Oryzias latipes: one gene and its partners. The protein of the gene in region 1 interacts with the protein of each later gene in a biochemical or structural test. Links are inferred from orthologs where the notes say so. Each region holds a gene or a part of one and is shown in the gene's direction. Other genes may lie near its edges.

Region 1 (8,323 bases):
GTTCCACCTGACTCCTGCGCTTTACATCAAGATTCCATGTCTTCCCTAGACCCCATGCAGCTGGGATTCATTTAAATTCAATTCAGTTTTATTTGTATAGCCCAATATTTACAACAATAGTCATCTCAGTGGGCTTCATACTGGTAACTGTGTAATAAACAAGAATCATAGCGAACATAAAGTCACAGATCAAGATATCTCTCCCCTGCAGAGTGAAGGGGGCTGAGGAAAATCTGGGCATCCATCCATCCATCCATCCATCCATCCATCCATCCATCCATCCATCCATCCATCCATCCATCCATCCATCCATCCATCCATCCATCCATCCATCCATCCACCATCCATCTATCCATCCATCCATCCATCCATCCATCCATCCATCCATCCATCCATCTTCTTACGCTCATCCATGATCCAGTTGCGGGGGCAACAGTCTGTCAAGTTGCCCAGACTCTCTCCGGCCACCTTTTCCAGCTTCTCTGGGGGGATCTTGAGGCGTTCCCAGGCCAGCTGAGAGATGTAGTCTCTCCAGTGTTCTGGGTCCTTCCTGGGACCCTCACCTAGAAGGACATGCCTGGAACACTTCCCCAGGCAGGGGTCCAGGAATCATCCACATTCTCACCTAATCTCCAATAGAACTTGTATTCAGGACCTCGTTCTTTAAGTCATGATTCACAAATCATGACCAGAGGTGATTATTGGAACGAAGATTGACCGGTAAATTGAGAGAGAGAGAGAGGGTGGGGGGGTGCTCAAGCACCTGCCCTTTTTGCCCAGATGCCCAAAGTGCCCTTTTTGTCAAAGGTGTTTTGGTCCAGTTTTCATGTGTTAATGCTTGTCTGAACAATGAATTTACCAATAGCATGTATCAAGTCTTAATTATTTAGAAAAAATAACATTTAAGAAAAGATCAACTCAGAAAATATGATGAACATGCCCCTCCCTGACACACACCTGGCAGCCCCTCCTCACATGCCCCGCCCACCCGTTCACTCACTGAAGCAGAGCCGGAACGCAGCGCATATGTCTACATGTAGGCAGTAATGTGATATGGCCCTCCAGATCTTTCACCTGTGTTTCAGGTGAGCAGATGGAGGGTGTTTTGCAGGTGTCTGCTCCTGCAGAGTTTTATGTGGATTGGATTTTAATTTGATTGATCTGACTTGACATTAATGTGCTGACAGGCCTCCTGAGGAGAACAGGTTGATGGAGGAAAAAGGAGCTGAATGAAGCTAAAGGCAGAGGATCCACAACCAGCTGCAAAAAGACCAGCATGAGCCAATTATTTATGTTGTTTCTGGTCTATAAAATTATTTGGAAAATATCATTTAATTGTAAGTAGTGTTGGAAGAGTTAATATAGTTTTTTATTTTTCTATTAGTTTTATTAACTCAATTTTTGTTTTTAATTCAGTTTAATTTCTGGATTTTCCAGTGTGGATTTACTTGTTTTAATTTTAATTTTTATTGTTTAAATATTTTTTTATTTTCCCAACTTACGTTACTATTTCTTTTTTTTTATTATTCAAACAAAATGTTTGATCAGACCTGTTTTTTCTTTTTAGTTTAGATTAGTTTATTATACCAACCTTGATTCCGACACTTTAGAGCAATAACCTCCTGATAGGGGGGCAGTCCTGTCAGGATTGGATGGACATCACCCAGGAGACGCCGCTCAGGCTAGAGGATGAAACTCAGACAGCTGTCAATCAACCTCCTTCACTGAGTGAACGCGGATTTTCTTCTTGAAGACGTTTCTGTCAGACTTTCAGGAGGACAAACTGCTAAAGGCAATAATTCGATCCACCATTTACTCATTTGTTCAATTATGTGATGTTAATTTTATAATAGAGAGATTATGTTTGGATTCATAAGCTGATAAAAACTCTCATTTACAACAAATATTGAGGTCATTTGTAACTAATGAGGAGCACTGCTGCCATCTTCTGGTCAAATTGAAACATGTTTGGACTGGACTGACTGGACGGATTGGACCCTGACCTGCATTCTTTCTGTGTGGTTTGATTCAAGTCTAAAGCAGATGACCTAAGAAAATTGTAACAGCTGTCACACACATACATGAGAGTATTCAATGCTGAGGCTTCAGTACTCAAGGTTTACATCCATTTTACCCTGAAATTATTTCTTCTTTTTTTTCCCTTTTATAAAGTAATTTAGATTTAAACTTTACTCTTTTTTATGTTGGTTTTTTTTCTCTATATTCCTGCTTTTTTAAACGTTTTCTTCAGGAATTTAATCATTGCTTTCAGAGCTCATGTGGTACTCAAAGGATTCTCTATTTTTAATCCGTTTTAATGGTTATTGTGGCATTTGGAGCTCTAAAAAGCATTAATATGTTTGTGTTTTTTCATCCATCCATTCATCCATCCTGCTTGATCCTAAACGGGATCATGGGGTTGCTGGAGCCAATCCCAGCTGCTGTAAGCCAAAGGCAGAGAACATGGTTCTCCTGCAGGAGAACTATCTTCTCTGCCATGTCAGAGTTGTTTTATGTGGCCTCTTTCAGCTTTAATGGCTTTATTCAAATGCTGTGGATGTGGGTTTTTAAAAATATGAGAATTTCTAGTATTACAAAATGTTTGATCATTGTTTATTTTTCCTGAAGCAAACAAAAAGAACAAATATTTTCTTGTTTTACCTAAAGAAATCTCAAATGGTTAAATGTACACTAAGGTGGATTTACATCAACTTTATAGAGTACAAAATTGTGTTATTTTTTTATTGCTGTGTTTTTTGCACCAGGGGAAATCTGTCTAGATCACAGTTGGAGCCATTAGCTCCGGTTTTCAAGAATAACGGGATCAAATAACTGCACAGATCGTCTATAGAAACAGGACGCAGCCTTCAGGAAGATCTCACCAAAGGTCGTAATTTACAGGCTATATCGTTAATCTGTTGATCACTTCCTGAGAGCCTAGATTAATGTATCTGCAGCCCACTTGAAACACTTTCGACTCTGAATGAGTAAAGACAAACTAAAAAAGAGGTCTGACTGAGTTCCGCATAGCACTCTTTCTCAATTAACATAAAACGTTCTTTATTTTTGCTCAAACAAAAAAAAAAATCAAACAAGAAATACAGCACCTATAAACAACGTTGCTTTAGTATCACGTATATTTTTCCTATTTTATAAAACTTAATTTGGAAAAATCATCGTTTTCCTCTTGGGGTATGTTTCTCAGAAATCCACGCAGAGTGATACCTCTTCTACTCATCCTCTCGGAGGCTGTGACATCACGCTCTTTGTGAGTCTTTGTGAGAAAAACAGCTGGATCAGCTCTGCAAGCCGCTCCGGCCCTCGAACCTCAACAAGGTACTGTTCTGTTTAAAGAACCGGGAATGTCTGCCTCCCGGTTCCGACCCAAATTGTTTGTTTCTTTCACCAGAATGCCACGTGTAACCTAGTTTTTCCGCTACCTGGCAGGCTAACCTGCTAACACACTGATTAGCCAGCTCAGCTAACGAGCCTCGCGCCGCTGCACGCGCCGCCTCATCAGAGGATTAAAGCAGCTGAGCGGGGCGCGCGGCCCCCCTCTGAGTTCACACGTGTAATAACAGAAAAGCTCTATCTCCAGGTGAGAAGCTGGTATACAGGGAGCCGGACCAAGAGGGCGGACCAGACCGGACCGTTTAGGTCTAGAATTCTGCTGAAACCAAACAGTCCGGAGTTTAATTACATATTTGTTCATGCTTTATTATTTAATTAATAACATAATTAACGTGTTTTTAACTGAAGCAGTTTCCATTCTGTGTTTGTTTGCTCCAATTAAATGTGTTTGTACAGTAAATTTAAATTAATAAGCTATAATGAAAACCCCTCAATGTATTTCATGTTAATCTAATAATATCTAACAAGCGCACAATTATTAACTGTGGGAGGCTAGAAGAAGCATCCACCTCCTCCTAGTTTAATCCAATATTCAAGTCATCCTAAAACAGTGTGAGCGCACATTTCATCCATCCTAATCCAATGTAATCCTCCATACATGTTAATCTAATGTAATACTTGGAAGTATGTGGTGGATCCTCGCTAAGCAGCAGAGCTTTTCCTCTTTCCTCTGTGTCTTTGGTAGTTCTGGAGGAGCTCTGGTCGTCATGAAACTTTGTGCTCTAAGGTCTGTCAAAACTCTGCAGCGGTCTTTTACTCATGTTGGTGTGCTGGAGCAGCGTTGCGGTGTTTTGCATGACAGAATCTTAAGCTGCTGGGAGTTGGAGTTCATTTTTGGCTCTGGGAGGGGTTTGGCCCCATCTCAGCAGAGAAGCGTGCAGCCTCACTTTTGACGTTTCTTTGTCCCCCCCCCCCCTTGTTTCTTTTCTTATTGTTTCTGCCTTAAAGGATCAGGTGTTGACATAAACAGCAGACGAGCGCTCGCCCCATACGTGCACACTAACGCCGTCACCCCCGACTTAGAGCTCAGAGGGTTCGCAGAGCTGCAATCTGGGGTTTTTATTTAGCCCGGCTGAGTTGGGTGCTCACTCCCACGCAGTCCAAAAACAGCTCCACACAAGGAGGCATGAAGCATTCTCCAGGGAGGGGGGTTGTGGATCTTAGTTTGACAAAAAACAAACTTCACGATTCGTTTTTTCAGGCTGACTCTCGTCTGTAGACGATTCCAGCTGTCAGGGAGCCGTGGATCGGTTCAATGAAGACCTGTGCGTTTAAAGCAGACTGTTTTATTTGGGATGAGGCTTCCAGAGGGCGGATCTGTTTGACAGATCTGTTCCAGAGAGAGATGAAAGCAGCTGTAGGCTCCTCTGCACATCTGGACCTCGTTCAGGAGCAGAACTCTGCCCCATCAGCCATCAGGTTCCTCTCATCTGGATCTGTTCTTCATGGCTGTCCAGAGGAACACTGGTTCCTCCTGCTTAGACCTGGGTTTGGATGTCGTGTGAGGAACACATCAGCCTGCATTCATGTAACATGATGGAACGGGAGATTCAACATCTCATTACTACATGGACATAGTGCCCCCGCCCCCGCATTCCAAACAGGAAGGACCTGCTAAAATCCCATAGACCTCAATAGAGAAATAATCAGCTGTTGCTCAGTCACTCTATTGTTCTGGATTAGGGCTGCACGATCTGAGGAAAACTCGCGATTTTCGATATTACTGATCAACATTGCGATGATGATATAACTTGCGATACATGAACAAATGGCAGGGCAACCAAAAACATCGTTTCCAATTCACTGCTACAGTTTTAATTTAAAAAGTCAAAATAACTTAAATTATACAGCAAATGACCCAAGGCCACACAGGAGGGGAACATCTAACATCAAAGGGTTTCGTGCGATTGGTCAACGTCGTGAAGAGGGTTCATCCGTCCATCCATTGGTCAAATGCATAAATGGATTTTTTTTGATTCATTAAATACTTCAAGCTTACTTCATAAGATTGTTTTAGCACATTTAATGTAACCATTTAGTGCAATTTTTACCGTCTTTTGCGATATTTGATTGCACTACTTGATATCGCCATAACAATAAATTTGCGATTTATGTGCAGATCTATTCATGATTCTTTATCGCATGTTGTTTAAGTTATAACCTAACCAATCAGATGCCTCAGTAAAGGCTTGTGGTGCCCGCTGGCCCCCTCCTGGAATGTTTGATTGACAGACAGACCACTCACTGTCCTTTGGCTCCAACATGGCGGTGTCCGTATCGCAGAAAAATGGCGACAGAATTGGGTTCATTTGGGCTGGAGCCGGAGGTGAGGCATTTTCTATGGGTGACGTCTCACTCGCTCTGTCCAGTTCTCTATATGCTACAGTTCAGTGGCTCATTGCAGCCCAGCGGCAACCGTTTCCTTTTTTGTTGAGGATGATTTAAAAGAAAAAGTAACTGTAGTCAGATTAGTTCACTGAGTTACTTCTAGGGGGCTTGTGGCTCTCCGTTCCCAACAGTCTGGCTCAGAATGTGATTAGACTTATAAAACCGCTGCACTGGGGGGGAATTTCTATGTTCTACCAACTCTGTTTTATTTATTTTTTTATTGATGCTGCTCTCAAATGTGTGTGGCTACTTGATTGATCGGAAACTTTCAAATTCTCTGGGCGTGTTCCAACCGCTGACTGTATGAGAACTGGACTGAGTGTGACGACGCCCACTAAAAATGCTTTACTCCCGTCACCAACCAAAGGAATTCAATTAAGTCCCAATTTTTCCATGTTACGGACGCCGCCACGTTGGAGCCAGCCGACGACAGTGAGCGGCGATTGGTCCGGTCTGAGTCAAGGTTTTTATGGCCACCACTCTTGCGAATCAGGAGTGAGCTTCTTGTAAAGCCACACCCCTTCTACTTGAAAGTGGGCTAAGGAGAATCTGTCAGTCTAACGGTACTATTATTGAGGCATCTGATTGGTCAGTTTATGACTCGAATAACTTGCTCTACAGAAAAAAGAGGATTATCCAGAACAGGTATCAGAGCAAGAATGGGTGTTCTGACCAATAAAATGACTGAGTAACAGCTGTTTACTTCTAGAAGTCTACAGGATTTTAGCTTCTTGGAGCCAGCAGGTACTTCCTGTTTGGAAAGCGAGGTGGGAGGGGTCACACAGTCCAGTTCTCAAATGTATAGTCAATGGTTCTGGCAACTGACAGGTGTGGTTGTCCCGCCCATTTTGCTGTTTCTTTTGGAACAGTTGGGGCTTGATGATGTCAACAAGATGGCGTCAGAAGTGAACAATGGCTTCAGATCAGTTTATTTGCCCAACATGACTTCAGGGTTTTGGGTCACATCTGAGCCGGACCCAAAAGGGGTTTTGATGTGTTTAGGAGACAAAAAAAAGGTTTAAGTTTTCTGAACTTTAAATGAAAACGAACAAAAAAACATTTGAACCCAAAAAGATAAGATTTTTGGTAGTTTATCAGTGAGCAACAACTTTCCTCTGTCCTATCAGCACCATAGTCAGAGGCTAGAAATTCCTAAAGCTGGTGGATTTTAATACATGAGAAGTCGAGATAAAAAATAAGAGCTGGGAAACCTGAGCTGTGTGTCAGCAGGGGTCTGACCTGAGCTTTTTGACTCTAGAAAAGATGGGAACTCTGTTCTTTTGTAACCATGCATGCTCTGAAGTCGGGTCAGTGAAGCATGCTGGGAAGCGTGCAGGTCCATGGCTGCTGCTTGGTTCAAGTCAGTTCTGGCTCTGACAGGGAGTCACGCTGACTAATCCTGATTATCCTGTCAGCTGCCTTTGATCAGCACAGCTCAGGTTTAGCTCCAGGACAAAGGCGCCGTTTTCCCCTTTTCCCAAAAACACAAGTGACTCACTTCCTCATGTTCTGCTGGTTTTCTGTGCAGAAGCTTGCTTCAGCCCAAACATTGAATCCTGCTTTTTCCTGCGCCCACTTCCTGTCTTGCTGTTTCTGCAGATTGGATCGCAGCTGAGTGGGTGTGTTTTTCAGAGGTGACTGACTGAAAGTTGTGTGTGTGTGTGTGTGTGTGTGTGCAGGTTGGCTGTGAGGCTGACGATGTGGTGGGAACATGGAGCCTCCTGAGTACCTGGACCTGGATGAGATCGACTTCTCTGATGATTCAGTGGTCAGTATCTCGAGCAGAAACGACACAAACTCAACCGGCGTCTTCCCCACACCTTTCTACCTCAATGGGCTTTTCTTAAACCTTAGTCCCAGCTGCTCTTATGGGTGGATACATGCTGTCAAACCCGTGGGGGGGGGCACACAGGGGGCTCGCACAAAACTTCAGTCGTAGACAACTCGGTGAGCCCGTAGAGAGAAAATGTTCATGCACATTTTTTCTACGGGCGTGCAGCAGGTGGTCGTAGTTAAGAGATTTTTGTAGTTATACTTTTCTATATACTTTTAAAAGCAATTCAGTCACTACTTTTTTGTTTTTTTAACAGTGATGATGATGTCATCAATTTCACGAAGTTGAAATTGTTTGTTAAAGAGGTTTTGCGATGACCATTTATGAATCCACTATCTTCTGAAGGTTAAATGGTTGGTTTATTAAAAAAAAACATTTAAATACATTCTTTTGGCCAAAACGCAATGCATTGTGGTCTATATTCGCTAATCCAGTGAGCATCGATGCACACTAGTTTTTTCGCAGAGACACTCGATTTTCGAATTGTAGATCCAAACAAGCACTACAAAAAGTCAAACGCACTATGTAGTGCGATATGTTGTGAGTCGTGAAGGGATTTGCACACAACACTTGTGTTCTTATGACCGTGCAGACAGGAAATGACATCATAGCGGGGTCACAGGAAGGGTCACTAGGGTTGAAGCGGTTTCTCCTCGCCCGTTTAATTCCTGCAGCTTGGTGTTTATATGA
Region 2 (8,115 bases), on another chromosome or scaffold:
CTAAGCTGCAGAGGATGTGAACAGGTGAACAGGTAGAGAGGAAAAGCAGGTAAAGAGGCGGGGGAGGGGCTTTGGCTTCAAACTCTGTCAGAGAGATGGAAACACGGCGTCAGATTCAGACGCAGCGTTCCCTGCAGGAGTTGAAGCAGAGACTTTCTCTGGGATGATTCTATGAACTCAAACATGGAAACATGATTATCAAGCAGAACTCTTTAAAATAATAAACCTGATCTCTCCACATTCTTCGTGTCTACCATCATTGATGCACACATCGCTCCATGCAGCGATCAGACCAGAACTTTAGCTGTTAGCTCCGCCCATACGCGACCGCGGTATCAGGCTTTAAAGAACACAATTTCTAAGAGGCGGGGCGGGGCGCTGCACACCCCCAACAACAGGTTAGATGAAAGTGGCCATTGGGCGTCTCTACCTGGTGCCTTCACGGAGCTTCAGTACATAAGACTCCAACAGCCGCACAGCCTAACGTAGTCCACTATTATATATTCATGAGATATTCATGGCAAAACTGATCCCGCAGAGTTGTTTTTTTCGCCGCCCGCTCCCGCCCGCAGTACAATTCAAACCGCCCAATCCCGCGAGATTTGCATTGGGTCCCGCGGGACCCGGCGGGACCCAATCCCAATGCAGCCCTCTACCATGTAAGACATTTTCTAGATTTATTGAGAGGCCCACTTCTTCAGTTTTTTGCTACTCCTTACACGGTGCTTATGTAATTCACATTCATACTTTAGTTTACCCTCATATGAGCAGAGACCAGGGTTCACTTCCTACATCTGCAGCAGAGTTCAGGCGAGCTTTGACACATGGGAAACGAAGCAAAGCATCAGCAAATGAATGTGCCTAACAATGACACATCTCTCCTGAAAGTTAGAAAAGTCTGTGATTTTTCCATCTTTTTTTGTTTGTTTGTGTTTTCATTGCCTCCTTTTGATAGACTTTATTTAAACAGTTTACAAATACAAACATTTAAGGGGTTTAAACATGCACAAACCCTGGAGAAAAGTTGTTTGTTTTTTTCAGATTTTGAATTTATAAGAATCCAAACGCAGACTATTAGAAATCAGCAGGTAGATGACAGCGTTTGACTGGTTTTGACTAAAGTCTGCTGGACTAAGGAATAGAATCAGTGACATTTACAAACAAAAAGCATCTTTTTTTGAAAAAAATATTAGCTGCTACTGAAATGACAGGTTTCTGGAGCAACTTTAAACACTATTTTTAATCAAAAGGTCACACATGAATGAGTCAGGACATTTTCACTCTTATAAACAGCTGGTTGATTATTTGTCTTCAGCAGATCACGGATGAATGAACGCCACTGGCACGCGCTTTTTTTTCCCTTCACTCATGCCGTAGTGTGCATATTAAAAACTTTTGACACCTCCAGTGAAGCATCACATCTTTCAACGCATTGTTGGGTCATCTACGTTGAGACGTTGAGATACTTTTTAGGAACCATCAAGTATCAAAAGATTCAGTTTAATACCTCCATGCAGCGCTCCCTGATCAGTTTTACACCACAGACCGGACTTGAAGGTGAGATGAATAAATAAACGTTGCATATGACCACCACCATAACAAATATTTTCTAAATATAATAATAAACGGGAATCTGCTGTGTCCAATTTTATCAGCAGTGTCTTTGTAACATAAGACAGGGCTCACTGCGTGAGAGCAACCTGTCCCAATAAATCCATATTTTAATTAAGACTCCTGATATTATCTGTTAAATGCAGCTTTCTTGTTGATTTTTGAAGTCATCTCTCTGATTCTTATACTGTGCAGAAATTGTCCAAATAATTCGGTTTGAGTTTCTTTTGTCATCTTGGGGTTATTTTGGTTTTACCGCCTGAGTGGCTTCTTTAGGAAGGTCACACATGTAGGAAGACATGTGACCGAGCGACTTTACATGCATAAAGTGTCACGGAGAGAATCTGGTAGTTTTTCCCAAATGAAATGGCTTTCAAAATCACTAATGACTAAAATGGAAATTTGTTTTTTCTTTCTGTGTCTGGGTACCAAGTGACCCTTTGCCCAGAAGAGACCCCCAACCTAAGGAGTCAGGTTGTTCCTATGAGTGGTCTGGTCGAGGGAACAGCTGATGTTCTACAGAGTTCTCCGGTCCTGCTGGAACTTTATGAAAACTTGCTGTGTCGATGACATTTAGTCCCTTTTGTGCTTCTTTTTTTTTGTATATTAGCTTAAGAGCTGAATTTGTAAAAAGAGTTGGCACGTTCAAAAAGCTTTTTTAGATTAAGCTAATGCAGTCTTGTTAAAAGTATTACTTAAAATCAGAATTCAGGGTTTCTGCGTTGGCATAAAGGAAACTTTAATGTGCACTGAAGCCAAGATGTTAAGATGTAGCAGGAGAATTGTTTTCTCACAACACTGTCTGCTAGCCACTGGCAGGTTTGACTGCAGACCTCCCAAAAACTGCTGCCTGAACATCCAGACAGAGATTTTGAAAGCAGACACGCTCCGTCTTTGATGCAGCTGCAGACGTGTTTGATCTCTTATCAGATTTGTGAAAATAACTGAGTCTGAGGGGGCGAAAAAATCCTTCCGGCTTAGCATACGGTGGGCAAGGAATTCCACAGATTTGGTCCATGTGGAAATGAAGCACAAAGAAAAGCTTCTCCTCTTTGTCCTCTCGTGAGCAGATGTTGACTCTGGGATGTGCTGCATCTTCAGCATCGATGCTCCGAACGGTAAACGCTGAGCGAGCTTTTCACATACCTAGAGTGCTTCTCAAAAACAGGAAGAGCACTTTGAGAAGGTGAGACGCTGCTGTAGAGTGTGTAAGTAAGTTATGCTGAAGAGCAAATGTGAGCCAGAGAACGCAGCCCTGTGTTCTCTGGCTCACATTTAAAACGTGGACAGAGGAGAAACGGGCTGCACTAAAGGAGAAAGGAGGTATGAAGTCAGAGGGGTCAGCTGGTGCTGCAGCTTACAGCTATACCAGCTGAAATCTGAGACTTGCACAACCACAGTGAGGCGGAGGGAGGGGGCAGAGGGAGGAAGAATGTCCAGCCTGGAGAAAGAAGGCAAACTGCAGGCTTTCAGAGGACACGAGGCTGCAGGAGCAGCAGGGAGATGCAGCTGGAGCTGAGCTGAGACATGTGAGGGCTGAGCCTGCAGAGACAAAGATAAAGACTCGCGCTGGATGCGGACTTTAGCTCTGTGTTTCAGACAAACACAGCCAGTGGCGCTGACACCGACCACGCTCCCCAGGACAAAGAACATCACTGAAATCCAAACCGAGAAGAAAGTGAAGGGGGAGACTTCACACTGGATTTTTTTCTTCTTCTTTCATTTCCTCTCGGGGAGCCAAGGTTAGGTTTCTGAGCTGGGGCTCTCTTGTTTTGAGGATTTTTCTTTTGCAAACTTGCACTTTTTTTTGACTCCTCTTTCTATACCTGCTAACCAACCGCCCCGTGGAATGTCAAATAGTTCCTGAGTGGAGAAACTGGATAATTACCCAGTGTTGGTGAAGCTCTAATGACTCTCCTAAACTGCCTCCCGTTTCCTGTGCAGACTGGCGAGTTGATTAACCCTTTAGCCTGCCTGGCTGCTGTCCGGGCTCCTTCTGTTGCTTCTGCAGTGGAGTCGCTCAAACACCCTGGACTCTGACGTTTTCCCGCTGTTAAGGATCTGCTGGTGTTTGTTTGGACACAACCCTCGTTCTGGATCTGCTGCAGAACTCCAGCCGCTCAGAAGCTTGTACTTTCCAAGGGGAGAGGGGTGGGGGCGGGGGCGGGGGTGGCAGGAGGGGAAATATGATCCAGTATTTGGAGGAATGCGTAGAGCTCCAGCAGCAGTGTGTGGTTTCCATGGAAAAGGCCTGAGCAGCGTGGCACAGAGGGGCTGCATACATGCTTTACCTCTATGTCTGTGGTCCAAGTGAAATCCAAGCAGACAAGTGTAGCTCCACAAGCTCCACCCTGGAACTCCCTGTTCAGGCTGCTCTCATGCGTAGCAACCAGGAATGTGCACAACACTAAAGGTGAAGCGCGTCGATCCTCACCAGCTCCATGTTTCTGCCCAAGGTGGCTTGAATTGGCACTTTGTGTGCAGGGGGCCGTGTTGGCACACCGATGCTGTGCGTGACGTGGGCGAGCACAGAAGATGCTTTTAACCGTTTCCCTGCGTACATTATGTTGCACTGTTTTAACGTGGATTAACGTTTGTGTTGAATCCCCCTTCACCTGTCCTGATGTTCCTCTGTTTAGTTTTGTCATTCAGGATATTTAATTTCTTATCATAGAAGAGAAAAGGGAACGACGGGAATGTTTTCTTCACAAATAGCACTTTTGAACATTTATTAAAACTAATTTGCTTTTTAAATATTCATTTTGTGTGTTTATGTTTTGGTCCTTTAAGGGCCTATACCAGGCTCTTCTTAAGCCTTTTATAGTAAAAAATATATATATCCATGTATATGATGATATATTTTGGGACACAAAAGAACATTTCTTTTAAAATTAAATATTAGTTATTTTCCTGAGTTCTTTTCCAATCAGGAAGTAGGACGACTCCATCTCTGAGGCTCCGCCTCTCGCTCTGTGATGCACAAAAGATGTTCTTGTTTTCTGTCAAAAGATTCATCACATAGTTGAAGGATTCAATATATACAAAAAAATGTACAATTTGTATTTACTCAACATTGTATTTAGGTTTCTGCTTGGTTTCTTAAATAACATCAATTAAAAATAATAATAATTTCCAATCTTTTGAGAAAAATATCCAATCTCTTAATTAATGAAACTATTTCTAGATTATATTTCTTCAGCTTCTAAAAGGGAAATGGTTTTCTTTTGCGATGCGTTTAAAGATTGTTGAGCCTCCATGAGGTTCATGGAGGCAGAAGCTGTTGGTGAAACAGACTTTTTGGTCTGTTTGCAACCAAACCATTGGCAGAACAAAGACAGGAAGATGTTTATGGTTTATGGTTTCCTTCATCGTTGGTGTTCACCTTCACGCCCCGAACCATCGATGGTCTTATCCGTCTACCTGTTCCCACACCGTAGCCCTGTTTTCTGCCTATGTTTGTAGACGAGACGGTTTATGTGGAGATGAATTTTTAGTTTCAAAAAGCAGCTTCCTGTGTTTGCGAGTTCTGTTTCCACACAGAAGGAGACATTGTACGTCGTTTTAACAGAAACCTCAAATCAAATGTGATGCAATCGTGTCCAGGAATAATTTGCTTTGTGTAGATTTTGTTCAGCTGAAGACAAACGGGTTTCACTCGTCAACCTTTAGTCCAGAAATGGACCAGACTTACTGAAATATGAATGAGTGGCTCTGCAGCAAAGCGTCCACACAGCAGAAATCTAAAGTGAGCACGCTCTGTGTCCTGCCCATCAAACACCGCCTCGGCGCCATCCGGCCCTCACGTCTGCCGGAACATCACAACAATCCGAGCCCACTTCTGTGTCTGACTGGAGAACAAAGCAGAACGTTCAGAACCAGCCTGTCGGGTTCTCATGTGCACTTCCTTTGTTTTCTCTTTCAGAGGTCCAAACATTTCAGGAGCAGACAGAAGCCTTATTTGGAAATCTTATGGACGAAGGTCAGTCTGTCTTGTCTGTCAATCTGTCTGTCTGTCTGTGTCTGAGTGGATCTGTTGGGGATTTGCTTTACATTTACAGGATCGATGGCAGCTTTGTTGGTTTTCCCATGTCTGCTGTAGTTTTGTGTGTGTGGGCTCAGACCTTTCTGTCGGGCTGATCAGCCGTCCCGCTGCAGGGCCCGGCCCACGCCGTCTTTATCTGGCAGCTCCTCGTCAGCTGGCACCGGGCGTGCCAACTGAACAAGTGATGCTATGTTTATCCAACACTGTTCAGCTCCTCGCTGCCAAAACGCCCCGACAGCAGGACCCACGACCGAGGTCCTTCCAGAAACGGGGCCCTGCGTCAACCCACCTAAGCCGAACCACTGAGTGCCTCCCAGAAATCTGATGTTTGATAACTGAAACCTCTCCCTCCAACGTCTTTTCACTCTTCTCTGCTGTCAAGCAGAAGAGAGTTTCAGCGTGTGACCTCATCGCTGCACTGGAACGTTCTCCTCACACAAACGCTTTCTGTCCGGCTAAAATAAGAACTTCTGTTTGGAGTAAACTTCTGCAGAGTGTTTGTCACTCACATGTTGGAGGCACCGTCTCAGGTTTCCCTTCTGTGTGCCGTCTGTAAACACCCCCCCCCCCCCCCCCCCCAACACGCACGTCAGAGATTTGCATCCTAAGCCAAATCAGTCCCACTGCTCCTGCTAGCATGCTAATAATAACTGATTAGCTAACTTCATGTTCAAGGATTTTTCATCCCTATAAACCATGATGACATCAGAAAACATCAGACATGTGTTCTGTGGTCTGAGTTCTTCTGGGTAAATAAATGTCTTTCTCCTTTTCAACACAGATCTTGAGTGTTTAAAGAGCCTCGAACTTTATTAACAAATACAGAGCTGGAATTTATGTTCAGTGTAGAAAAAGAAAAAGAAACATTCCTACGGTTGACGAGAATGTTGAAACAAAAAAAACAAGCATTTGTGGTACATAAATCTAATCAAGTGATCAACAAATCTGATTGAGATTTTTATTGATGGACGTCGGCGAGCATCCCTTCATCATTCTGTCTGCATCTTTTTTTCCCTAACAGTAGCATCCTCATCTCTGCTTTCTGTTCTTTCATCTGAGGGAACATCTGCACAGAACTGTGCTGTTCCCAAGGCAACAGACACAACATCACTGCTAAACTTTGAACACAACATTTTTTGTCAAATAGTGAAAACATTTGACTGAAACACTGACGTAAACGGCGGTAACATGTTTCTGAAATCTCTCCTCTTATACTCGAGGATTCAATTAATTCCAGACTTAAAAAAAACGGGAATTTCTGCTGTAGCTTTTGATTTTTATGCCTTAACAAAATGTTTAAGCTTAGAACCATTTTAAAGCTGGAATGAATGGAGTTCTTCCGTTTTATTATCTCTCCTTCACTGTTTTTCATTTTAGTCATCTGTCTCTAAAATAAATCATTTGTTAACCCTGGAACACTTTTGCTACAACAAGTCCCACCGTCCTTGTTGCCGGGTCATTTTTTCCCCAATATAATCATCCCAGCAAAAAGTACCAATCATAAAAAATAGATCAAAACATGACAACATGTGTTAAATTCAAGTGGTTTTCCTTTATTTTTATCTGTGGAATGTGTAACAAAATGAAAAAAAACAAACAAACATAGGATTTTTCCTAAAAATATGCTCAAAAATGACAGAAAAAATTGGGAATTTGAGAACAAAAAATGTCTAAACAATGATCCTAAAAACTTGGTCTTATGGGACATGTGAGCCTTCCCTGGTGAGGCGCAGACTGCTTGACACGTGACTTATTGAAGTTCATGGAAATAGTTTTGCACGGGTGAAAATCACCCTGCAATAGTGCTCTAGGGTGGAACTAGCATTTTGAACTTTTAATTCTTCATTTTGATGAATAAGCATCTAATTGTTTCCTTCTTTTTTTAGCATTCCTATAAAAAAAGTTTCACTTTTTCACAACAATTTGAATAAATACTCAAAAATGCCATTTTAAGCTTTTTTTTATGTCTTTTTTATCATCAGACGGATCCCTCAAGAAAATGTAAAAAAAAAAATAAAAATAAAAAAACTTTTTGTCAGAGTGAATCATTACCCAAGACATTCCTGTGTGCATTTTTTGTTGATTATCTAACTGGTGTAATGCAGCGTTATTTAAATATTCAGTACCTTATATCTGCATCTTTTCAGCTGATGTAGCTTCTCTCAACATTTATCAAATTTACTGCCAAAGGTTTGAGATTTTCTGTTTGCTCCTCATCGTTTCTGAATATTCAGATGAAATCCGTTTCAGATCTTCCCTCATCAGACCGCGCTTTGATCTCGGCTTTGTTCTTGTGTTCCTCAGAAATGAGTCGCCAGACCGCCACCGCGCTGCCCACTGGAACATCCAAGTGCCCCCCCTCTCAGCGCGTGCCCACCCTGTCGGGCACCACCGCCTCCAACAGTGACCTGGCCAGCCTGTTCGAGTGTCCCGTCTGCTTCGACTATGTCCTGCCCCCCATC
Region 3 (8,361 bases), on another chromosome or scaffold:
CCCCACTGTGGGATGAGCTTTAAAGGCAGCCGGTACGTACACAGGTCTCCTCTGTGGGAGGGTTTAACCTGAGGATCTGATATGTTTTTCCAAGATAAGAAACGCCGCCCATCAGAACCCCAGCCTGTCATTCAGTGGTGCCAAACGCTCCGCCTCCAGCGTCTGTGGAGGTTTCCTGATCTCAAAAGCTGTTCTGCTTGCAGAGATTGGTTCAGTAAAAACTATCCGGTTCTACCTTTGGGAAGCTTGGCACTTGTGTTACTGTGAGTAGACTGATTATTAAAGGTTCCCTACATGTGATCAGCTGGTGGTCAGGTCAGTCTTTCTTGTGGGGTGGAGCTTTTCAAATGGCGGCCCATAAATGGCTCGCAATAGATTTTTGAGTGACTTAGACCACCATGACTCAAAATAATGGGAGTAAAAAAAGGGTCTATATCATGCAAAATCAACTTTTTTGAGCTTTTAATTGTATATAATGTTCATACCTCACGAAGAAAAACCCCAAAGTTGTATTTTGATCCGTTCACACATCTGAGTATTCGTCCAAAAACAGCCCCTCCCACCCCACGAAAACGATTGGATCCTCATGTAGATAAGTGGGGAACAGCCCCTCGCTGCCAGCACCGCCCCCAGCTAACACACACACACACACTTTCTAAACGGAGCATGTGGTGATCTGCAAAACCATCTTGCCAGGCTCCACAATATGGACATCCATCTTTGCAAAAGTTCGGATGTTGTTTGTTTTCATGGGCGACTCTAGGTTGACGTCATGAAATGAGCGGCACCCGCACGGAGTGAAAGCCGGTGCCTCAGAGATGGAGTCGTCCTACTTCCTGGTAGGAAAATCAACTGAAAATAACTCAAAATAACTCGTAGTTCATATAAAAATGTTATTTGTCTAAGGTAATATATTATCAAATATGGACATACTTTACTCTGAAAGGCTTAACAACAGCATGATATAGGCCCTTTAAATGTTTTTAAATCTATATGGAATTTCCCACACCTGTTTGGTACCTGAATGCAGCACAATGCAGCACTGACTAAAAGTGAGCGGTTAATTGAGAACCCACCAAGAAGAGAGAAAAAGCTTCCTTTTTTATCCCCCAAAATAAAAGTGTACCACCAGCATTCTTTTCAACTTAAAAGCACAGCATGTACTGCTCCATTAGACCAACACACTGATCAGAATCCACTGCAGTGATGTTCTTTTTTTCTTCTCTGACAAATACTAATGTGATGCAGAGGTGTGCTGCCAACACTTTCATCCCTTCAGCAGGAGTGCATACATCTGAGCAAAACCTTAAAACTATTTGCACAAAAACAACACATAAAATACTACTATATGTCTGTGGGTTATAAATCTTTTTTTTTTTTTTTTTGCCATACCAATTTCTGAACATTTACAGGCGTCCATGCTTTGTGTTTAAGCTGTTTGTATTGTTAGTCATTACAAAAGATAACCCTTTTTTTTATATATAATCCAAAATCTGAGTATCAATGGCTTGCTGTGGGCTTAAGAAGTCTTGAGTGCTGCAGGTGTAATCTGTGTTTGTTTTCCTGCAGGATGCTGGGGAGTCACTTGCGGCTACACGGGAAGCGGCGCATCCACCCCTGCAACATCTGCGGCAAGGAGTTCAACCACAGCTCCAGCTTGTCCCGCCACCGCCTCATCCACAAGAAGGGGAAAGGCATACCCAAGGACGCCCCCTTCAGCACTGGTGTGGCCACCCTGCGCCTCTGCGGCAAGAACAAGAAGGCCAAGAAGCAGCACGTCGCGACCGCCATCATCCAAAGCCATGGCACAGACAAGTTCTACGCCTGTCCACAGTGCGACATGACCTTCAGGACGTCCACACAGCTGTCCAAGCACCAGGTGACCCACGTGAAAGAGCTGCTGGACAGTTACACGCCCGGCAAGGAGAACCTGGGTGAGAGCTCATCTGACCTCAAGATCCGCCTAAAGCTCTGCTCACGGGATAAGCCCAACTTTTACACCCTCTGCAAGAAGAACCGACGTCGCCGGGGGGGCCGGGCTGGCAGGCGGGGCCAGTCCTCTGAAGACGACGAGATGTGCGGCGTAGAAGGAATGGGCCACCATGTCTGCACCCAATGCGGGAAGCAGTTTAGCCACGCTTCCAGTCTGGCACGACACCAGCAGACCCACAGGACGAGCGCTGGCGCCCGAGGGAAGCAGCTTCACCCCACGCCTGGACTCCCCCCCTCAAAGACCAAGACCTACACTTGCTCAGCCTGCAACAAGACCTTCATGCACTCGTCCAGTTTCTCACGTCACAAGAAAGCCCACCTCGAGGACGGCCAGGTCACCGCAAAGCGTCAGAAGAGACCTATCCTGGACGAAACCGCGCCCCTCGAGTCGGACTCAGAGTGACTCCCCCACCCCCCCTGCTCTGAACTGGATTGGACCGGTTTGAGGATAAGGCATAAGTATTGACTGGTTCCGGGGTGTTGTGGAACCAATTCTCGAAAAAAGTTGAAACTCAGAAATGTTCTGGACCCGTTCTGGTTGTCCAGGTCTCAGGAACTGAAAATGGTTTCTTCCTCTTTGGTGTAAATAGCAGCAGGATATCCTAAAATGGTCATCAGGTGGGGATGCCGCATACGGTCACACCTGTATGGTCAGAACTGACACTTAGCTTTGCGTATGGAGTAATGTAATTAGATTCAAACATACACAATTGCCCTCCCCTTTTACCTCCCTTTCACCTGTATGGCGGCACCTGCCGTTTCCCAAAGGCATCATGGGAAATGAAGCTGGATCATCAAACCAGTTTGCCGCTGTGAAACACGATTGGATCGATCATCTGTGGTTTTCATCCACAAAACTGGTCCTTTAAACGACGAGCAGGTCCAAAACTGCATCGACACCGGACCCGTGAGCAGTTATCCAACTTTTGATCCATTTAGTTGATTGATGGTCAGAAGAACTTTCTGTCCCTGTTGGCAGTTTTCCCTACCTCGCTCCAGTGGATTGGGCTGATTAGGCCAGCCAGGCTGCTGATGCTGTGTTTTGATTGGCTGACGGTGTTCTTTGTTATCTGGCTGGCCAGTCAATCTTGGTTACTATAACAACAGTTTAATCATCAGCAGGCAGAAATGGGTGTTCTATTCTTCAAAATAAAAGCTTCTAGCAGAAATCCACGCTGGAGTCCGAGGGATGTGTCCCGGCGCTCCTCAGAGAAAACTATCTTGTCGGGTCCTAAGACGTCTGTTGGTAAGGTGGAATGTTCTGATGTTCCAGAAACAAAGTTGTCATGACAGCATTGGCTCCTCCTCACATATAAAGGTGTTCTTCGTGTTCTCCAGCTCCCGCCACGGTGTATGGAGCATGCTGATGAACTGGGACAGATGTTTGGTCAGTTCAAGCCTCTGGACTCCACGTTCATTTGGAGCAGCTCTCACCAAAATAAAAGCTTTTCCTGTGCCCGCCCAGGAACAGTTATTGAAAAAGAGTTGGCTTGGAGTTAATTTAATGGTGACATATTTATTTTGGTCTCAATGCCTATGACCCCCCCCTTTCACCAAGAGACAAAAACACTCAGTCCCTCCCACCATGTTCCAGTTTTGTTTCTGACACCTCTCCTGTCTACAGTTTAGACCAGTGTTGTGTTGGTTTGTTGCAGTGGGGGGGTGATGGTGGTTTTCATTGTATCGTGTTTGCCAATAGAATAAAGCTGTTGACATGTTTGTCTCGTCTTTGGAATAAACTTCTATCCAGGCTGTTTTTACTTCCTGCCTCCAGCAGGAGGAGCACACATGGAAGCACGGAGCCACAGGGAATTTTTGGGGATACCATCAATTGTAGATCCAGTCAGCTTTAAATTTAGGCAGAACATAAAGGTTAATCCAAAGTCAAACCACAGCTATAGAGCACATGGGAGACAATCTGCATACATACACCCTTTAAATAAGCCAATATTTCAAAATAATCGAGTGCAAGCTGACTTTATCTGTATCCTGTAGAAGGTTCCGGCTGAGGAGCGCGCGCCAGGATCTGCTGTCACTGAGGACACATGGATAAGTCATCCAACCTTTCCGATCAAAGATCGACTGTAGTGGATATTTAGTACCAGCTGCTATTTTCTAGATGTTTCAAAAACAACCACTGAATGGCTGTTGAGTTTATTCATCGTCAGAGTTTGAATTTTAATCGTGTTTTTTGTTAAGTACATACACTTCCGGTGTTGTTTACGTCACACTGTACAGCGGACCGACGCCGGAAACATAGGAGAAAATGTACTACAGCTCCCAGAATGCTTAGCGAATGAGAAGGCTGATGATCGGTGAGTTCCGAACCGGGTCCCCAGTTCCAAACCGGGATATCTTCGACTGACCAATCGCGCTGATCTTATCTGGTCTGTCCGCGTTCCCGTCAGTTAGATCGGTCCCGGGCCAACATTAAGCGCGGGTTTAAGATGGGGTCGGTTGGGTTGACGCCGGGACCTTGCACCGGCGTTAAACTGTAAACATACAGATACACAACATGAATGTGTTGAAGCTGCTTAGTTATTTATCATGGTTGATTTCCCAGAATTTTGTTAACAAAACAAGCGGACATGTTTTGTTTGTTGGCTTAACCTTATGTGACCGTCTACTTCTTCCCAAATAAATCCGCTTCAGCGTGACACTTCTGTAATTTATGTACATTTCCAAGTTGGCACAATACCACAAACACCACAAGTAATGCACAAAAATAGCAGTAAAAATAATAAAGGAATACAGTTTGTTTACAGACTTTTACAAATTCGTGTTGTCTTATAATACTGCTCTGACTGTCTCATTAAAATAACATGATCCTGACAGTAAAAACACAGCTCTGGATTTCCATTTTGCCATTAAACCTTTATTTAAGCCGTCTTTCTTAATCCACAAGTTTTTGTTTAACAAGTCTGTCTCTAATCTAATATTCATTTCTAAACTCCCAGAGAAAACTGCTGCAGATCAACTCTGTGAGCGTTTGAACAGAATAATTTGTGATGAGTTTTAGTCAGAATTTCCCATATCATAGCTCTGCTGAAGGTAACCATGACCTCATGGCTGCCTGTACTTGTGTCTGTGCATGTTCTTTTAGGCCTCAGTGCTGTTTGTTTGACATACTTGATTAGAACGTTTTGTTGCAGCTAATAGAATATGGCATTGTCAAAATGCTTCCAACACTAGTATGAAGCACAGAAAACATTTCCATTGGTCATTTTTGTCATGAGATGAACTTGAATTTCTGAAACATTTTCTACATACACAATATAACAATTTCTTTCAATTATTGCTGACAAAACTGCCTACATTTGTGATATTTAGCACTTCTGCTTTGCTGAGATGATCCATCTCACCTCACTGGTGTGCCATATCAAGATGCTGTTTAGACAGCATGATTATTGCACAAAAGACTGGCCTCAAAAAGAGGCCAGTCTGAAATGTGCCGTTTTGCTTTGTTGGGGGTCTGGGGACTCAGAAAGCCGGTCAGTATCTGGTTTGACCAACATTTGCGGCATGCAGTGCAACCCATCTTCTCTGCACAGAGTTCATCAGATTGTCAGGTGGCATGTATACTTTCAAGAGAATCTGAGACCAGCCACTCAGACAGCTGCTGAAACAATTGGTTCGCAAAACCCCAAAAAATCTCCACAGAAACCATCTCAGGTAAGCTCATCTGCATGCTTGTTGTCCTCATCGATGCTAAAGCCCGACTCCAGTTTGTTGTCATAACCGACTTGAGAGGGCAAATGCTCACATGACACATGGAGAAGTGCTCTCTTCACGAATAAATCCTGACTCATTCTCTTTACTGGACATGTCAGACAGAACAGAGGTGCATTTGATTGACAGCATTTTGAATGCACAGAGACCCGGTGGGCCGTTGTATCCCATACATCCAACAACATCACCCCATGTTGCAGCATGATATTGCACGGCCCTGTGTTGCAAGGATCTGAACACAATTCTTGGAAGCTGGAAAAACATCCCAGTTCTTGCGTGGCCAGCATCGTCACCGGACATGTCACACATTGAGTATGTTTGGGATGCTCTGGATCAGCGGATACGACCGCGTGTTCCAGTTCCTGCAAACATCCAGCAACTTTACACAGCCATTGAAGAGGAGTGGGCCAACATTCCCTTAATCGCAAACCTTATCAGCTCTGTGTGAAGGAGATGCACTGCATGAGGTAAATGTTGGTCACACCAGATACTGACCGGCTTTCTGAGTCCCCAGACCCCCAATAAAGCAAAACGGCACATTTCAGACTGGCCTTTTATTGAGGCCAGTCTAAGGCACACTTGTGCAAAGATCATGCTGAGGAAAAAGCATCTTGATATGGCACACCTATGAGGTGGGAGGGATTATCTCAGGAGAAGTGCTCACTATCACAGATTTAGACGGATTTTATGGACAATATTTGAAAGAAATTGTTATTTTTGTGTTTGTAGGAAATGTTCAGATCTTTGAAATCAGCTTAAGACAAACGGGAGCAAAAACAAAACTGTTGCGTTTATATTTTTGTTCAGTGTAGTTTCAAAGATTTCAAGTCTTGGATGACTTCCAATTTTCTTTCACTAACTCAGAAAACAGAAGTTGTTGTTCTTTGACCCAAACAGTTTAGGGAATCCCAGTTTTATGACAGTAGATGACATTATTTTATATTGATCAGACTCCTGTTTTGTGAAATCAACTTCCCGTTTCTCCTCAGGAGGTAGAACCATCTCAGTCTTTGAGGAATTTTATTCTTCAACGCTGTGAGGAGGTTTGACTCAGCCACATGGCAGTTAGATGTCTCACTCACATTATAATTGGCCCTGGCACTACAAACTCCAGATCTGATTGGCTGTTGCACTTGAGCGTGCTCAGTTGGTTCTTAAAGCCTCAGGGAAATTTAGTAGAAGGTGGCTGCACCAACTAGGTGCAATGTGATTGGATAAAATTCACTGATTTATTGATTGGTTGTTTTATACAGTGCCGTTTTGTTCAAGTTTTTGGTTCCCCTGACGTTTTGTCGTCTTTCAAACGGAATGAACTCAGAGGTGGGCAGAAATTCCTACACTTCCATAACTTTTTTTTTTTTGGGGAAACTACGACCAATATCCATAACAAACAACTTCGTCATTCACAGGAATGTGGAACAACTGTTTTTTAAATTCTTTTGCTCAAACAGGTTTGTTTGATGGTTTGAAATTTTCCCTTGTGTTTATAAATCTAAACCCTCCGCTTTGTGTTTCTGTTTGCAGAGGTGACACAGGTCATGCCCTCAAACAGAAAACCAATTTACAATACAACTTCTGTGTGATACGCTGAAAAATGAATCAATAAGTAAGATCTGTGATCTCCATGAATGGTGTCTGCATGAGATTTCATAGCAGTCTTCCATGCTGTGTCCGCAGTGTTCGTGCGCTACAACCTTGGCCCCGGTGTGGCCGTGGAGCTCCAGGAGGGGGCGAGTGTTGCCGAGCTGAAGAAGGTGGTGGGGAGTCAGCAGGGCGTCCCCCCGGAGCAGCTCAGGGTGCTTTTTGCTGGGAGGGAGCTGCAGAGCACCTCCTCCCTGCAGGTGAGGCTGCTGCCTGCTGGGAAAATGAAGGACGCAGGAACTTCTTGTGTCCAAGCAGGAAACCTGCGACTCAGCTCAGTTTGGCCCCACAGGTCAGGACATCTCAACGTTAGGAGGCAGGTTCACCGATAGACACCATCTGAATGAATCAAAAAATGATAAAGTCTTGACGCCACATTTGAAGAAATCTTCTGAAAAGTCTTCGTGTGGATCCTTTTGAAAACAGGGAGATATCCTCAAAAACCAGAGGCTGTCATGAAATCTGAGGCTACTCTCATGGTTGTAGCTCCTTCAAAATAAAAGCCTGTGGAGATTCAGATTGAGCTGAAGCTTTGTTAGGTTGTACTTTGAAGACTTTTTGAGGTGATATTGAGAACTAAACACCATATTCTCCTCTCTCTCCTCCTAGAGCTGTGACCTCCCAGAGCAGAGCACCGTTCACGTGGTCCCTCCCCCTTCAAGATCGTCCTCCTCTCAACTGCTGCTCTTTCAGGAACCTCAAGGCAGCGAGGAGGAGCAAGAGAGCCTTACAAGGCTGGACCTGAGCTCCTCACGCCTCCCCGCCACCCCCGCAGACCTCACAGGTACCCTAAAGGATGGAGAGATGGGGGATGGAGGACAAAGGTTACAGGAGGAAGGTGAACTTATACCTGGGACAAGTAAGTACATGTACTTGTATGTCTGGGTGTGTATAGGTATGTTTGTGGGTGTACAGATGTGCATGCAGGTGTGTTTGCGGAGTTTGTGCAGGTGAGACATGAGAGCCGTATTACAGTCACCTGACAGAGAGGGCGCTCTT

Evidence for each region.
Region 2: the proteins of sncaip (region 1) and siah1 form a complex in vitro, tested with the Homo sapiens proteins (2 studies listed by BioGRID, with this or other methods). The link is inferred for Oryzias latipes from reciprocal best matches to the Homo sapiens genes SNCAIP and SIAH1.
Region 3: of the proteins of sncaip (region 1) and prkn, one has a biochemical effect on the other in vitro, tested with the Homo sapiens proteins (3 studies listed by BioGRID). The link is inferred for Oryzias latipes from reciprocal best matches to the Homo sapiens genes SNCAIP and PRKN.

What each region holds. Positions count from the first base shown.
Region 1 is NC_019867.2:29,622,247-29,630,569, reverse strand, and holds the start of sncaip (synphilin-1), read left to right. Parts: upstream 1-3,240; 5' UTR 3,241-3,336; intron 3,337-6,990; exon of another isoform or gene 6,991-7,478; 5' UTR 7,479-7,510; coding exon 7,511-7,567; intron 7,568-8,323. UniProt on the Homo sapiens protein: Isoform 2 inhibits the ubiquitin ligase activity of SIAH1 and inhibits proteasomal degradation of target proteins. Isoform 2 inhibits autoubiquitination and proteasomal degradation of SIAH1, and thereby increases cellular levels of SIAH.
Region 2 is NC_019864.2:25,284,124-25,292,238, reverse strand, and holds the start of siah1 (E3 ubiquitin-protein ligase SIAH1), read left to right. Parts: upstream 1-2,983; 5' UTR 2,984-3,906; coding exon 3,907-4,024; intron 4,025-5,533; coding exon 5,534-5,590; intron 5,591-7,957; coding exon 7,958-8,115. UniProt on the Homo sapiens protein: E3 ubiquitin-protein ligase that mediates ubiquitination and subsequent proteasomal degradation of target proteins.
Region 3 is NC_019873.2:12,958,026-12,966,386, forward strand, and holds the start of prkn (E3 ubiquitin-protein ligase parkin), read left to right. Parts: upstream 1-3,792; 5' UTR 3,793-4,288; coding exon 4,289-4,307; intron 4,308-7,398; coding exon 7,399-7,562; intron 7,563-7,971; coding exon 7,972-8,221; intron 8,222-8,361. Other genes in the region: zinc finger protein 135-like, read left to right, coding at 1-32, 1,570-2,395. UniProt on the Homo sapiens protein: Functions within a multiprotein E3 ubiquitin ligase complex, catalyzing the covalent attachment of ubiquitin moieties onto substrate proteins. Substrates include SYT11 and VDAC1.